Callithrix jacchus: one gene and its partners. The protein of the gene in region 2 purifies or fractionates together with the protein of the main gene of each other region. This does not show direct contact. Links are inferred from orthologs where the notes say so. Each region holds a gene or a part of one and is shown on either strand. Other genes may lie near its edges. The genes, in order: AHCYL1, JOSD2 and AHCYL2.

What was found.
Region 1: the proteins of JOSD2 (region 2) and AHCYL1 purify together in Homo sapiens (affinity purification with mass spectrometry; 4 studies listed by BioGRID and IntAct, counting the BioPlex papers as one, with this or other methods). This does not show direct contact. The link is inferred for Callithrix jacchus from reciprocal best matches to the Homo sapiens genes JOSD2 and AHCYL1.
Region 3: the proteins of JOSD2 (region 2) and AHCYL2 purify together in Homo sapiens (affinity purification with mass spectrometry; 3 studies listed by BioGRID and IntAct, counting the BioPlex papers as one, with this or other methods). This does not show direct contact. The link is inferred for Callithrix jacchus from reciprocal best matches to the Homo sapiens genes JOSD2 and AHCYL2.

What each region holds. Positions count from the first base shown.
Region 1 is NC_133508.1:147,856,989-147,860,636, reverse strand, and holds part of AHCYL1 (S-adenosylhomocysteine hydrolase-like protein 1), read right to left. Parts: intron 1,952-3,648; coding exon 1,840-1,951; intron 1-1,839. UniProt on the Homo sapiens protein: Multifaceted cellular regulator which coordinates several essential cellular functions including regulation of epithelial HCO3(-) and fluid secretion, mRNA processing and DNA replication.
Region 2 is NC_133523.1:44,162,139-44,166,378, reverse strand, and holds the start of JOSD2 (josephin-2), read left to right. Parts: upstream 1-1,372; 5' UTR 1,373-1,793; coding exon 1,794-1,803; intron 1,804-2,362; coding exon 2,363-2,525; intron 2,526-4,240. Other genes in the region: ASPDH (aspartate dehydrogenase domain-containing protein), read left to right, coding at 1-425, 495-699, 1,048-1,182. UniProt on the Homo sapiens protein: Cleaves 'Lys-63'-linked poly-ubiquitin chains, and with lesser efficiency 'Lys-48'-linked poly-ubiquitin chains (in vitro). May act as a deubiquitinating enzyme.
Region 3 is NC_133512.1:117,813,472-117,817,119, forward strand, and holds part of AHCYL2 (adenosylhomocysteinase 3), read right to left. Parts: intron 2,671-3,648; coding exon 2,527-2,670; intron 1,663-2,526; coding exon 1,562-1,662; intron 1-1,561. UniProt on the Homo sapiens protein: May regulate the electrogenic sodium/bicarbonate cotransporter SLC4A4 activity and Mg(2+)-sensitivity. On the contrary of its homolog AHCYL1, does not regulate ITPR1 sensitivity to inositol 1,4,5-trisphosphate.

The DNA of each region.
Region 1 (3,648 bases), on a different chromosome or scaffold from region 2:
ATGCTGTTAGTCAGAGGACCTCACTTTAAGAACCAAGGGTAAAGACAAAGTGATAAGATAGTCTACAAGGGATTTTACACTAGCTTGTGCTCAAGGAATAGAGAAAGAAAGAAACGGCACAAAAGACAAGCAGCTCTATTGTTAGCACTGGGAAAGCCTGTCAAAATGATCAACTTTAAAAAGCAGTTTCACATAAAAGCCAAAAAAGCCAACAGACATGCAAGAAGACATACAGCAACCATTCCTTACCTCTCAAATCACTTCGTTCCTCTCTGAATTGAGCGCTTTCCTCATCACTGTTTCTGCTCGTATACCTGGTCTCTCTCACTGACTGACTTCTATATACAGGTCCTCCTCCTGTCCAGCTAACACAAATACTACTAAAGATTACCTTCCGGCCAGGTGCAGTGGCTTATGCCTGTAATCCCAGCACTTCGGGAGGCCGAGGCAGGCGGATCAAGAGGTCAAGAGATTGAGACCATCCTGGCCAACATGATGAAACCCTGTCTCTACTAAAAAGACAAAAATTAGCTAGGTGTGGTGGCATGCGCCTGTAGTCCCAGCTACTTGGAAGGTTGAGGCAGGAGAATCTCTTGAACAAAGGAGGCAGAGGTTGCAATGAGCTGCCATTACACCACTGCACTCCACCTGGGCAACAGAGAGAGACTCTGTCTTTAAAAAAAAAAAAAAAAATATCTTCCCCACTGTAACAATTTAACCACATCACTAGGCTTTTTAAAAGGCTCTAATACATTTCTGCAACATGGCCATCAAGATCTTTGAAGACTTTTTAAAAGCCTTCTTCAGTCATTTTATCATTCTTCCTCTCATAACTGAACTTTTCACGATGTTTCTTCTTTCTTAGCTACAATTAGCCTGCTTGTCACCCACCTCTTTTTATCTGTCACTCCAAGATCATATATAATGGCTTTTCATTTATGTTAATCCTTAATGTTAATAACACAATGCAAAAGGTATTCTGGCAAAGGACAATGAATGGCTTTTGGTACAAATATCTCTGCTGATCATTAATAGCAATCTGTAACCTGTAATCTTTTTAACAGTGAGTTTTCAGTTAAACAATGACAAGGTTTTACTGGATGCCCCATTAGATATCCCTGATGTTTTCTCCTATATTCAGTTGCCAAGATTCTATATTCTTTTCTATGCTAATTTTCTAATACATGCTCTATAGTTGGGAAGGACACAATATGAATCAGAAAAAGACTTTACTTATAGAGAGTTAAGATAGGAGGAGAGGACTAAGAAGAAACAGAGCTGGAGTCACATTATAGTAGAGTCTGAATCTTTCCTACTTCAGAGGCTAACAGGGGAGGATATTACAACAGAAGGAATAACCTCGTAAATAAAAGGAGCCAAAATACTAACTATGATCTAAGCAGTTATTGTTACAATCTAAGTAGTCTTGGGGACAAGAAAGAAAAAGATAGGGGGCAGGGTATATTTTATACAAAGAAATCGTGCTTCAAAATGCACTTCGTTTTCAAGGCCAATTCTGTCAGCCAAAATAGCATTGATTTCTTCCCTTTGAAATGTGGGCAGCTCAATGTGGGAATGGGAACTAGCCCAGTCCTACCAACTGGGCACTGGCCACAGACCACACACATAGACGGCCAGGGGGAAGAAAGTCTCGCGTCAACAAAAGCTTCCCCAGCTACTAGCCTGAATGCAGAACATTCCCACTGCTCAGCCACTAACTGTTTTCAGCACAATGGTGGGCAGTCATAACAGGAGGTATTTCCAGGCTGGTAAGTGAAGAGCACAGGTAGCAAACAGGGAAGAGAGATTCAAGAGGTCATGGAGTTTATTCACATCTACCTGAACTGTAGCTATCAGTAGAGGACTGTGAGATGGAGCGAGACAAAGATCTTCGGCCAGTTTTGGTGGGGAATTTGGTGAACTCCTGCATGTCATCAGCAAACTGGATTTGCTATACAAAAGAAAGACAAAAAGTTGAAAACTTGTAAGGAAATTCCATGAAATGTTCCATTTTTTAAACTGTCTTTCCTAAAAGCCAATGTTATCACATGGCTCCTACTAAGCCAGCACTTTCCCACCAGAAACAGGGGAAGGCAAGGCTACTCTCTTGACTTCTCCCAAAACATCAATCACTTTCTCCTCCCAATTATTTCTGCAGGATTTGGAAGGAGGGGCTAAGATTAAGCCCAACTTCTTTTAGTATTTGTCCAATTTTATAAACCTTTCTCACATTCCATAAAGTTTTCCTCCCTCTTATAACCCTGACATGTTAAACTCTTTGCCCCCTTCCCAAATCTTTCAGAAAACAGAATCTCATAGTGTTACTGGGTTTTTTTGGTTTTTGTTTTCAGAATATTCTCTGGTAGCATATTCCTAAAGTTGGCAATGGTCTTGCTTTCTGAAAGAATTATGAAGAGATGCCTAGAAATGATGATGGGCATTAAGGTGCCAGTACTCAGAGCCCAACCATATGTCTATACTTCACAAAGCCAAGGTACTATCCCCAAAACCTTCTATCCTAGTAAAAAATTTAAAATACCAGAATGATAAAGAAAAATTGAAAAACCCGCATACACTATAGTCAATTCTAACTCATTAGGACTAATATGAATGAAGGAGAAAATAATGACTTGGTAAACTTCGTATTAAAAAATACCTTAAATGAAATAAACCAGAACTAGATAATTCTTTGAAGGATACTTGGAAAACTGGCTCTAATCAACAGCAAATAGCTGGTAATTAATATTAATTATAGATTTATACAGTATGTAACACTTTTATTACATGGTTTAAATCTGCTGAACTCCTGTTTAAACTCTGACAAACCCCCTTCAAAATAAAATAAACTTCACCATCCTGAAATAAGCAGGATGGCTTGAGAATCTCAACTGAGATTCTGTTCACAGTCTGACTAAATTTGAAAAGGTTCCCATGGAGAATCCATTAAGCTAAGCCTTTAGCGAATACTTCAGAAATGTAAACAACTACAGATTAAAATCTTCTCTGCATAATACTGGCAACATGGTTATAGCCATTTTAAAGCCAGGAACAGTAAACTACCCATTAGTTACAGCTGCAAAAGCTTCCCCTCCTCTTTCACATGTACTCTTCAGCTAGGAGAGCACCAGACTGCAGTGTAAGAATCGGGTTTAAGGGGGCAGCCTAGGCATACGCAGCTAACATAAATAAATTAAAAACTGAATTAGCAGGACTCCACAGGTAATAAGGCAGTAATCAAGGGAACACAAGTCTAGCACAGTTCACACCAAGAATGAAAGCAGAGACCAGCCATGTAGTAATAGCCATGCATACTATGAGTACCAGGCCTAAGAGAAAACCCTGTGGGTATTTCTATTTAAAATTTAACCAGGCAAGTTTTCGTTAGCCTACTCTGTGAAATAAGGAGGGGACAGAGGACAGATCCTGTTTAATTAAATCTAGGAACACATCCTAAAGGCATGGAAGGGAAAGAGCTACCTATGCTGGCACCCAGCCCAGGTTCTTAAACATGTAGGAAGGCATTCAATGAATGCCTGTAGAATGAGTCATCGTTTCAAAATCCTTTCTTGTGTTTCCACACAATTAGGATATGGTTCAAAAAGGGAAAGAAAGAAAGACTTTCTCGTGTAAGATAAATCAATCAAGTTT
Region 2 (4,240 bases):
CAGACCACAGAGCGGCAGCTCTTGGAGGCCTCGAACCACTGGAACCATGCCGTGTTTGTGGCCCGAGGGGCTCTGTGGGGCACTGAGGACATCAGGAGATTGGATGCAGCTGGGGGCCTCCAGGTTCGGGTCTGCTGGGCTCCCGAGGAACCGGAGGGGGCCTGCCAAGACCCTACACCCCCTGACCCGGGCTCTTGCTTCCAGAGCCTGCGTGTCACCATGGCCACACACCCCGATGGCTTCCGGCTGGAGGGACCCCTGGCTGCAGCCCACAGCACCGGGCATCGCACTGTGCTCTATGAAGGCCCTGTCCGTGGGCTCTGCCCCTTTGCCCCCCGAAACTCCAACACCATGGCGGCCGCTGCCCTGGCTGCCCCCAGCCTGGGCTTCGATGGGGTGATTGGGGTGCTTGTGGCTGATCTCAGGTGAGCAGAGCTGAGCAGGGGGTTGGGCCAAGTCCAGGGTAACCAGACTGACCGCCCTGCTTGCCCCAGCCTCACGGACATGCACGTGGTGGACGTGGAGCTGAGCGGACCCCCGGGCCCCACGGGCCGAAGCTTTGCTGTGCACACCCGCAGAGAGAACCCTGCAGAGCGAGGCGCGGTCACCGGCTCTGCCACCGTCACGGCCTTCTGGTGGAGCCTCCTGGGTGCGGCCAGGCTCCGCTCCCCCAGCCCTGGGCTCCTGTGTCTGCAGAGGGTGGGGTCCCAGGCCCTGGCTAGTTCTGCAGTTCTGGTTCTGTCCTTGTTGACCTTTACTTCCGACCTTTATTTCCTTAACCCTCTCTCTCCACGACTTTGAATCCTGGCACTGTAGATGTCTCCATCTCTGTCCGTGTCTCCTCTCTTGAGTCTCTGTGCCCGCCTCTGTCTGGTACTGTGTGTGTGTATGTGTGTGTGTGTGTGTGTGTGTGTCTCTGTCCACCCCCAGGGCTCTGTCTTGCTTTCTTGGGGGTCTTCCTCCACCGCCGCCCTGGCCTGTCCCTTTCTCTCACCACTGCCTCTCATCTCTCCTCTCTCAGTAGCTCATTCCCCTCTCTCCCCGCAGCCTGCTGCCAGCTCCCCTCCAGGCCGGGGATCCATCTCTGCTGAGAAGCCTCTCCCTCCCGAGACGAGATCATCTGACTGGCCTCCCTCTCCTGCCCTGCTCCACTTCCCCAGGATCTCCCTTCTAACTCAGTAAAGATCACAGATGCCCGCAGCTCCGCCGCCTGGCGTCTCTGGTCCTGTTTCCCTTGTGTGACGTCACGCTGCGTCTACGCACCGCGCAGGACGCCATCACAAGGGGCGAGCACCCGCGACAGCGCGGAGCCAGGAAGCTATCGCGAGAGCCTACCCACTATATTTCCCAGAATCTCTGCGCGGCAGTGGGCGCGGCCGTACGCGAGGGAATGGCCTCTGAGGCGCACTTCCGGGACTTGCCGCGGGGCCCGACCAAAGTTGTAGTGCGGCGTTTTCTGGGCCCGACAGCGGACCTCAGGGCTACGCGCCCTGGGCGTTCCTTGTGGAGCAAGCGTCCCGCGGGGACCCACGGGAGTAGCAGTCCGGCGTGCGGGGACCGCCGGGAGCTGTAGTCCGTCCCTCCTGCCCAGTCAGCGCAGCGCTGCCCGCCCCGCACTGGGAGCCCAGATCCGCCGCCCAGGAGGGGGATGCGGAAGCCCCTGGCTCGGTGGAGTGGAGAGGCTGGCGGGGTGAGGGGCGTTGCCAGGCAAAGGGCGAGCGCCGTGGTTGGGCTGCGGGTCGGTGAAGGGCTCCATTCCTTGGTGTCCGGGGACGGGGCCTGGTTGCCGGGAGATGGGAAGAGGTACTCCTGTTGCTTAGTGACTGGGGAGAGGGCCCCCCCCCCGTTGCCAAGTGACAAGAGCAGAGAGCCTGGCTGCTTCCTGACCAGGGAAGGGAGTCTTCTGTTGCTAGGAGACCAGAGGGGACCCTATCACCTAGAGACAGAGGAGGAGGACCCTCTATTGCTAGGTGCTCGGAGGACAGACTGTTACCTAGTGCGGTGGGACGGGGGCTGTGTTGCTAGGTAACCACAGAGCGCCCCGGTTACCTAGGGACAGGGGAGGAGGGTTCCTCTGTTGCTAGGTGAGCATGTTAGGGACCCTGTTACTTAGAGACGTGGTGGGGGTGGTTCTCTGTTGCTAAGGGAGCTGAAGAGACAGCCTTTTTCGTAGGAATAGGAATAGGGGATGGAGGAACGTGTACTGCCAGGAGACTGCCAGGGAGCAGGATCAGGGGCCCGGGGTCCTCCCGGACTGTCCCGAGCCCCAGCTCAATCAATGGCGATGCCCCAAAGGCCTGCTGGGAGGTTGAACCTCTAGATACCAGGCCCCTGAGGACCTTCTCCCCCTCCCAACCCCCAGCAGGAGCCAAGGACGGCATGTCCCAGGCCCCGGGAGCACAGCCGAGTCCGCCCTCTGTGTACCACGAACGGCAGCGCCTGGAGCTGTGTGCCGTCCACGCCCTCAACAACGTTCTGCAGCAGCAGCTCTTTAGCCAGGAGGCTGCCGATGAGATCTGCAAGAGGTGACCGTCACCCACCCCAGCCCCTGGAGCAGCAGGCAGGCGCGCTGAGCCTGGGGGCCTTTCTTCTGCCCCCACCCTGCTCACTTGCCTAAGCTAGACACTGGGGAGATGTTGCCTCCTGTGCCTGTCTGTCCCTGTGGCTTCAGCCCCAGCCAGGCCTCAATCCGGTGGTTCTTTCGTTTTTTTAGAGACAGTCTTGCTGTGCTGCTCGGCTGGCCTCGAGCTCCCAAGCTTAAGTGATCCTCCCACCTCAGCCTCCCCAGGAGCTGTGATTACAGGCTCACCCAGCTTCAGGGTCTCTTATCTGGGCCCTGTCACAGCTCTCCAGTCCATCCTAAACATGCCCCGCCCTGCTCAGGGCCCTCCTCGTAGCAGAGGCTGAGCCTGCCTCTGCAGCTTCAGCCATCAGACCCCCTCAAACCAGACTTCACTCCACTCCCCTGGAGGCCCCACTGTGTGGCCTCTGGGCCTCCAAGTACTTCTTTCTGCCTGGCGTGGCTGCCTTCCCTGCCAGCCTGGAATGTTCCTCTTCACTATTCACCATGTCAAACATCACTCCTTAGCCAGGCATGGTGGCTCACTCCTGGAATCCCAGCACTTTGGGAGGCCAAGGTGGGTGGATCACTTAAGGTCAGGAGTTTGAGACCGCCCTGGCCAACAGGGTGAAACCCTATCTCTACTAAAAAAATTTAAAAAACATTAGCTGGGCATGGTGGTACACACCTGTAGTCCCAGCTACTCTGGAGAATTGCTTGAACCTGGGAGACAGAGGTTTCAGTGAGCCAGGCAACAGAGCAAGACCCTGTCTCAAACAAACATATGCCTTTATCATCTCACTCCCTCCTCTCTGTCCCCATGTCCTTGGCCCTAGCTCAGGCCTGACCCTCTCCTGCCCAGCCTGCCTGTGACCGCCAGTCTGTCCCCTCCCTCAGTCCCCACATGACACTAGAGGGTCTTTCTACACCCAGAGATAGCCCTGCCTCCTCTGCGCCTTGCTCGAAGCCTCCTTCGGCTCCCGGATAGCCTGAGTCTCAGACTGATTATTATGGGGTATATTCATCTCTGTCATTCAGAACAAGGACCCATCAGCTCTTTCATGCCAAAGCCATGCTGGAGACCCTGAGATGACTGATACACGAGTGCTGGCCTGAGGGAGGCGAGGGAAACACACACACAGGAGCTTTTTCGTCCCGTGCCCTGCTCTCCCAGGGCCCAGATAGGGAACAGATGTGCAGCGGTTCAGAGGCAGGGCCCAAAGATGCAAGTGTTGGCTGGCAGAAGAGCCTTCTTGGGCGGGGCGTGCCCTACAGGGGATGTGGGTGGGGACAGGGCCAGGAAGAAGGGGGCTAAGGCTCTGAGGTAAGGCCACCAGGTCCAGACCACGCAGGACCTCGTGGGAGTCTGTCCTGGGGGAAGTGAGGCAGCAGAGTGGGCTGTGACCAGGGGAAGGGCAGGGCTGCCCCGTGGGAGGAGCAGGCAGTGTTCAGTCAGGGTGATCCGGGCAGCTGTCATCATTGAGGTGCTCAGTTCACTGGGGCAGCCCAGAGAGGGCCTTGACTCAGCCTGGAGGTCAGGAGGCTCCTCTCAGAGGATGTGACATCTGAGGTGGGTCTTGACAGACAGAGGAAGGGACTGGCCAAGGGATGGGGACTTTGTCCAGGGGCGCTGGGGAGCCATGGGAGGCCTGTGAGCAGGGGAGGCTCAGGGCCTCAGGG
Region 3 (3,648 bases), on a different chromosome or scaffold from region 2:
GTGAAGTAAGCACACTGAGGAGGCAGCTCCAAGAGAATCAGAGAGGTGAAGCTGGAGCCCTGAGATCCTGCATCTGAAGTCTGCCTTCCCTTTGGACTTTCTGCTATGTACTGTGATAAATTCCTTTATGTGGCATAACTTTTATTACAGTCTATTGTTATAATTGCTCTCTTTTATTTTGAGTTATTATTATTCATTTCTTATAGTGCCTAATTTATAGCTGCCTCTCAGTATCCTCAGGGGATTGATTCCAGGACTCCCATGATACCAAAATCTGAGGATACTCAAGTCCCTTATATAAAATGATGCAGTGTTTGCATATAACCTGTGCACATCCTTCTGTGTGTGTGTATATATATATATATATGTGTGTGTGTGTGTATATATATATGTGTGTGTGTGTATATATATATGTGTGTGTGTATATATATGTGCGTGTGTATATGTGTGTGTGTATATATATGTGTGTGTGTGTATATATGTGTGTGTGTATATATATGTGCATGTGTATGTGTGTGTATATATATGTGCATGTGTATATATGTGTGTGTGTATATATGTGTGCATGTGTATATGTGTGTGTGTATATATGTGCGTGTGTATATGTGTGTGTGTATATATATGTGCGTGTGTATATATGTGTGTGTGTGTATATATATGTATATATACACATGTATATATACACACATATATATATATATATATTTGAGACAGGGTTTCACTCTTGTTGCCCAGACTGGAGTGCAATGGCATGATCTCAGCTCACTGAAAACTCTGCCTCCTGGGTTCAAGCGATTCTCTTGCCTCAGCCTCCTGAGTAGTTGGGACTATAGGCATGCACCACCACACCCAGCTAATTTTGTATTTTTAGGAGAGACAGGATTTTTCCATGTTGGTCAGTCTGGTCTTAAACTCCCGACCTCAGGTGATCTGCCCACCTCAACCTCCCAAAGTGCTGGGATTACAGGTGTGAGCCACTGTGCCCAGCCCCTTCTGTATATTTTAAAGCATCTCTAGGTTATTTATAATACCTAATATGGTATAAATGCTACATAAATAGTTGTTATATTTCTTATCTTTTTTTATTGTTGTATTATTTTATTTTCTGAATATTTTGATCTGCAATTGGTCAAATCCTCAGGAAGGACTGGTGTGCACCGGAGGCCCAATTGCATAAATTAAACTTAATCATAGGTATATATGTATAGGAAAAAACATAGTATACATAGGGTTAGGTACTGTCTAAAATTTCAGGTGTCCACTGGGGGGTCTTGAAACTTATCCCCCACAGACAAGGTAGGGAGACTACTGTATATTGAAGTTAAAATCTTGACTCCGTGATTTCTAGCTATGTAACCTTAAACAAATATTTTAAGTCCTCTGAGCCTCAGCTTCTTTGTTTACAAAATGGAAACAATACCTGCTTTATATGGCCATTATAAGGATTAATGCGCTAATACTTGCTAAGCTCTTAACTCAGTACTTGGCATGTTGTAAGCTTTCAGTAGCTCGTGGCTATTATTAACTATTCTTATTAAAAGGAGAAAGGAAAAGAACTCACAGCAGTCTGAGCAGTGATGTGTGTGCAACCCACGATTTTGGCTCCAGCCAAAGGCTTTTCTCCTTGAGCTCTCTTCCTCAAAGCCATCAGTGCAGGCATTTCTGAAAAGGCCCAATATATAAACAACAATATTAAACAGGAGGGAATAAGAGATAAAAGAACAAACAGAAAAACTTACTTTCTTAAGATCCTTCCCCTCAAGGGATCAAGACATTAAACCTGAATTTTCCTTTATAAAAAACTTTTAGAGACAAATGTTTCAGGGTTCTGAGTCTCTATATTCTAGTCATTATCCAGTCTCTGTCCTTTTTTTTTTTTTTTTTTTTTTAATGATTTTTGTTGTTGTTGTTGAGATGAAGTCTCACTTGTGTTGCCCAGGTGGGAGTGCAATGGCACGATCTGGGCTCACTACAACCTCTGCCTCCTGGGTTCAAGCGATTCTCCTACCTCAGTCTCCCGAGTAGCTGGGATTACAAGCGTGTACCACCATGCCCAGCTAATTTTTATATTTTTAGTAGAGATGGAGTTTCACCATGTTAGCCAGACTGGTCTTGAACTCCTGACCTCAGGTGATCCGCCTGCCTCAGACTCCCAAAGTGCTGGGATTAAAGGTGCGAGCCACCGTGCCTGGCCTCTCTTTATTTTTTATTTTTATTTATTTATTTTTTTGCCAATCAGTTTGAGCTTATAAGGTTGCTCAGGTTAGCCTTGAGCTCATGACCTCGCCTTCGCAAGCGCCACGACCTCCGGCGGGAGCCACTTTGGACCCCCTTTTTTTTAATATAGGGTTCCTTGTAGACTTGTCAGAGTTCCTCAGTGTTTCCTGAGCTCATATTTATTTTGTTTTAAGTACTCTTCATTATCACATAGAAATTTCACAAGCTACCAGACCCCAGACATAAGGGATTAATATGGACAAAAAGACACAGGCAGGCTGAGAAGGAAAATGTGCTTGTTTTCTTTACCTTGTTCAGCAATTTCAATTTCTCTTCGTCCGAACTCTGCTTGTTTGATGTTCTTGACACAGAAGTCACTGCTTCCCTTAGAGTTCTTTTGCTGCTTGTCCCTGGGGGATGTCTCATCATCAGAGCTATCTGTATATGAAGCCGCTGGAATGACAGAATAAAAAACTCTCAGGGGGAAAAAATGCTTCCTCTAAAATTCTGGATCATGGAGTGAACTGAAGTTTCTCTAGCCAGCTAGCACCATATAAATTTTTTACCTCTGGTAAGCACCTACATGCTAAACACAGGCCAGAAGAGGGAAGCTGAAAGAGACTGCCAAAGACATTCTCCCTGGATAGCCTTAACTTGAAATCTAGGGCTAACTTTATCTTCAGAACATGCAGAGGTCCTTGAATTCGCAAAAAAGAGAGAGGTTACACAACAGTAGCTTTAGGTGAAAATCATGGTCATTAACCTGTGGGTTTTGGGGATTCTAGCTACTCTGCTCTGTGTGCTGCCTAAGTATTTGATATAATTTGTGTTTTAGTGAAATTACTGAATAGATAAGACCTAGAAAACAAGGAACCCACGGGAAAGTAATTAAGAACCACACAAAAAGTATTTGTCTGACATAATAGAGCTTTCTTTTTTAAGACTGACTCTGATGAAGCTGAATTGTGCCTGCAGACCCAATTATACATCGACAATGAAGTATTCAATGTGCTCTCCCTTCTTGCTGGCCTCAGTGGGTGCTGTGCATTTTAGGCTCTCAAAGAAGTAAATAAATCCTCTTTTGGTACAAAAAAATGCTCTGATAACGAATCCATTTAGCAACATACCCTAGAGCGTGAAAGGTCTAAAACTTTATTGTGGCTATAACAGGCAGCTGCTGCTATTGCTATTCACATGCTTAGCTGAGGTCTTTAGTCTTCATAGAGTTCTGTAGTTGCTAACCATTTGCTAGATTATTTGAAGCAGTGTCCTTCCCTGATTTGTGTTTGAGTTTCTGAAGATAGTTCCCTAACCCCCAAGTTTTCTTAGGGGTTAAGAAACACTCTCTAGAAAATGCTTCTCTCAGTGGAGTAAGTACTGCCATCACTTTTAAGGGTGGAAAACTGTGAAAGGTCAGAGTGCCTAGGATCC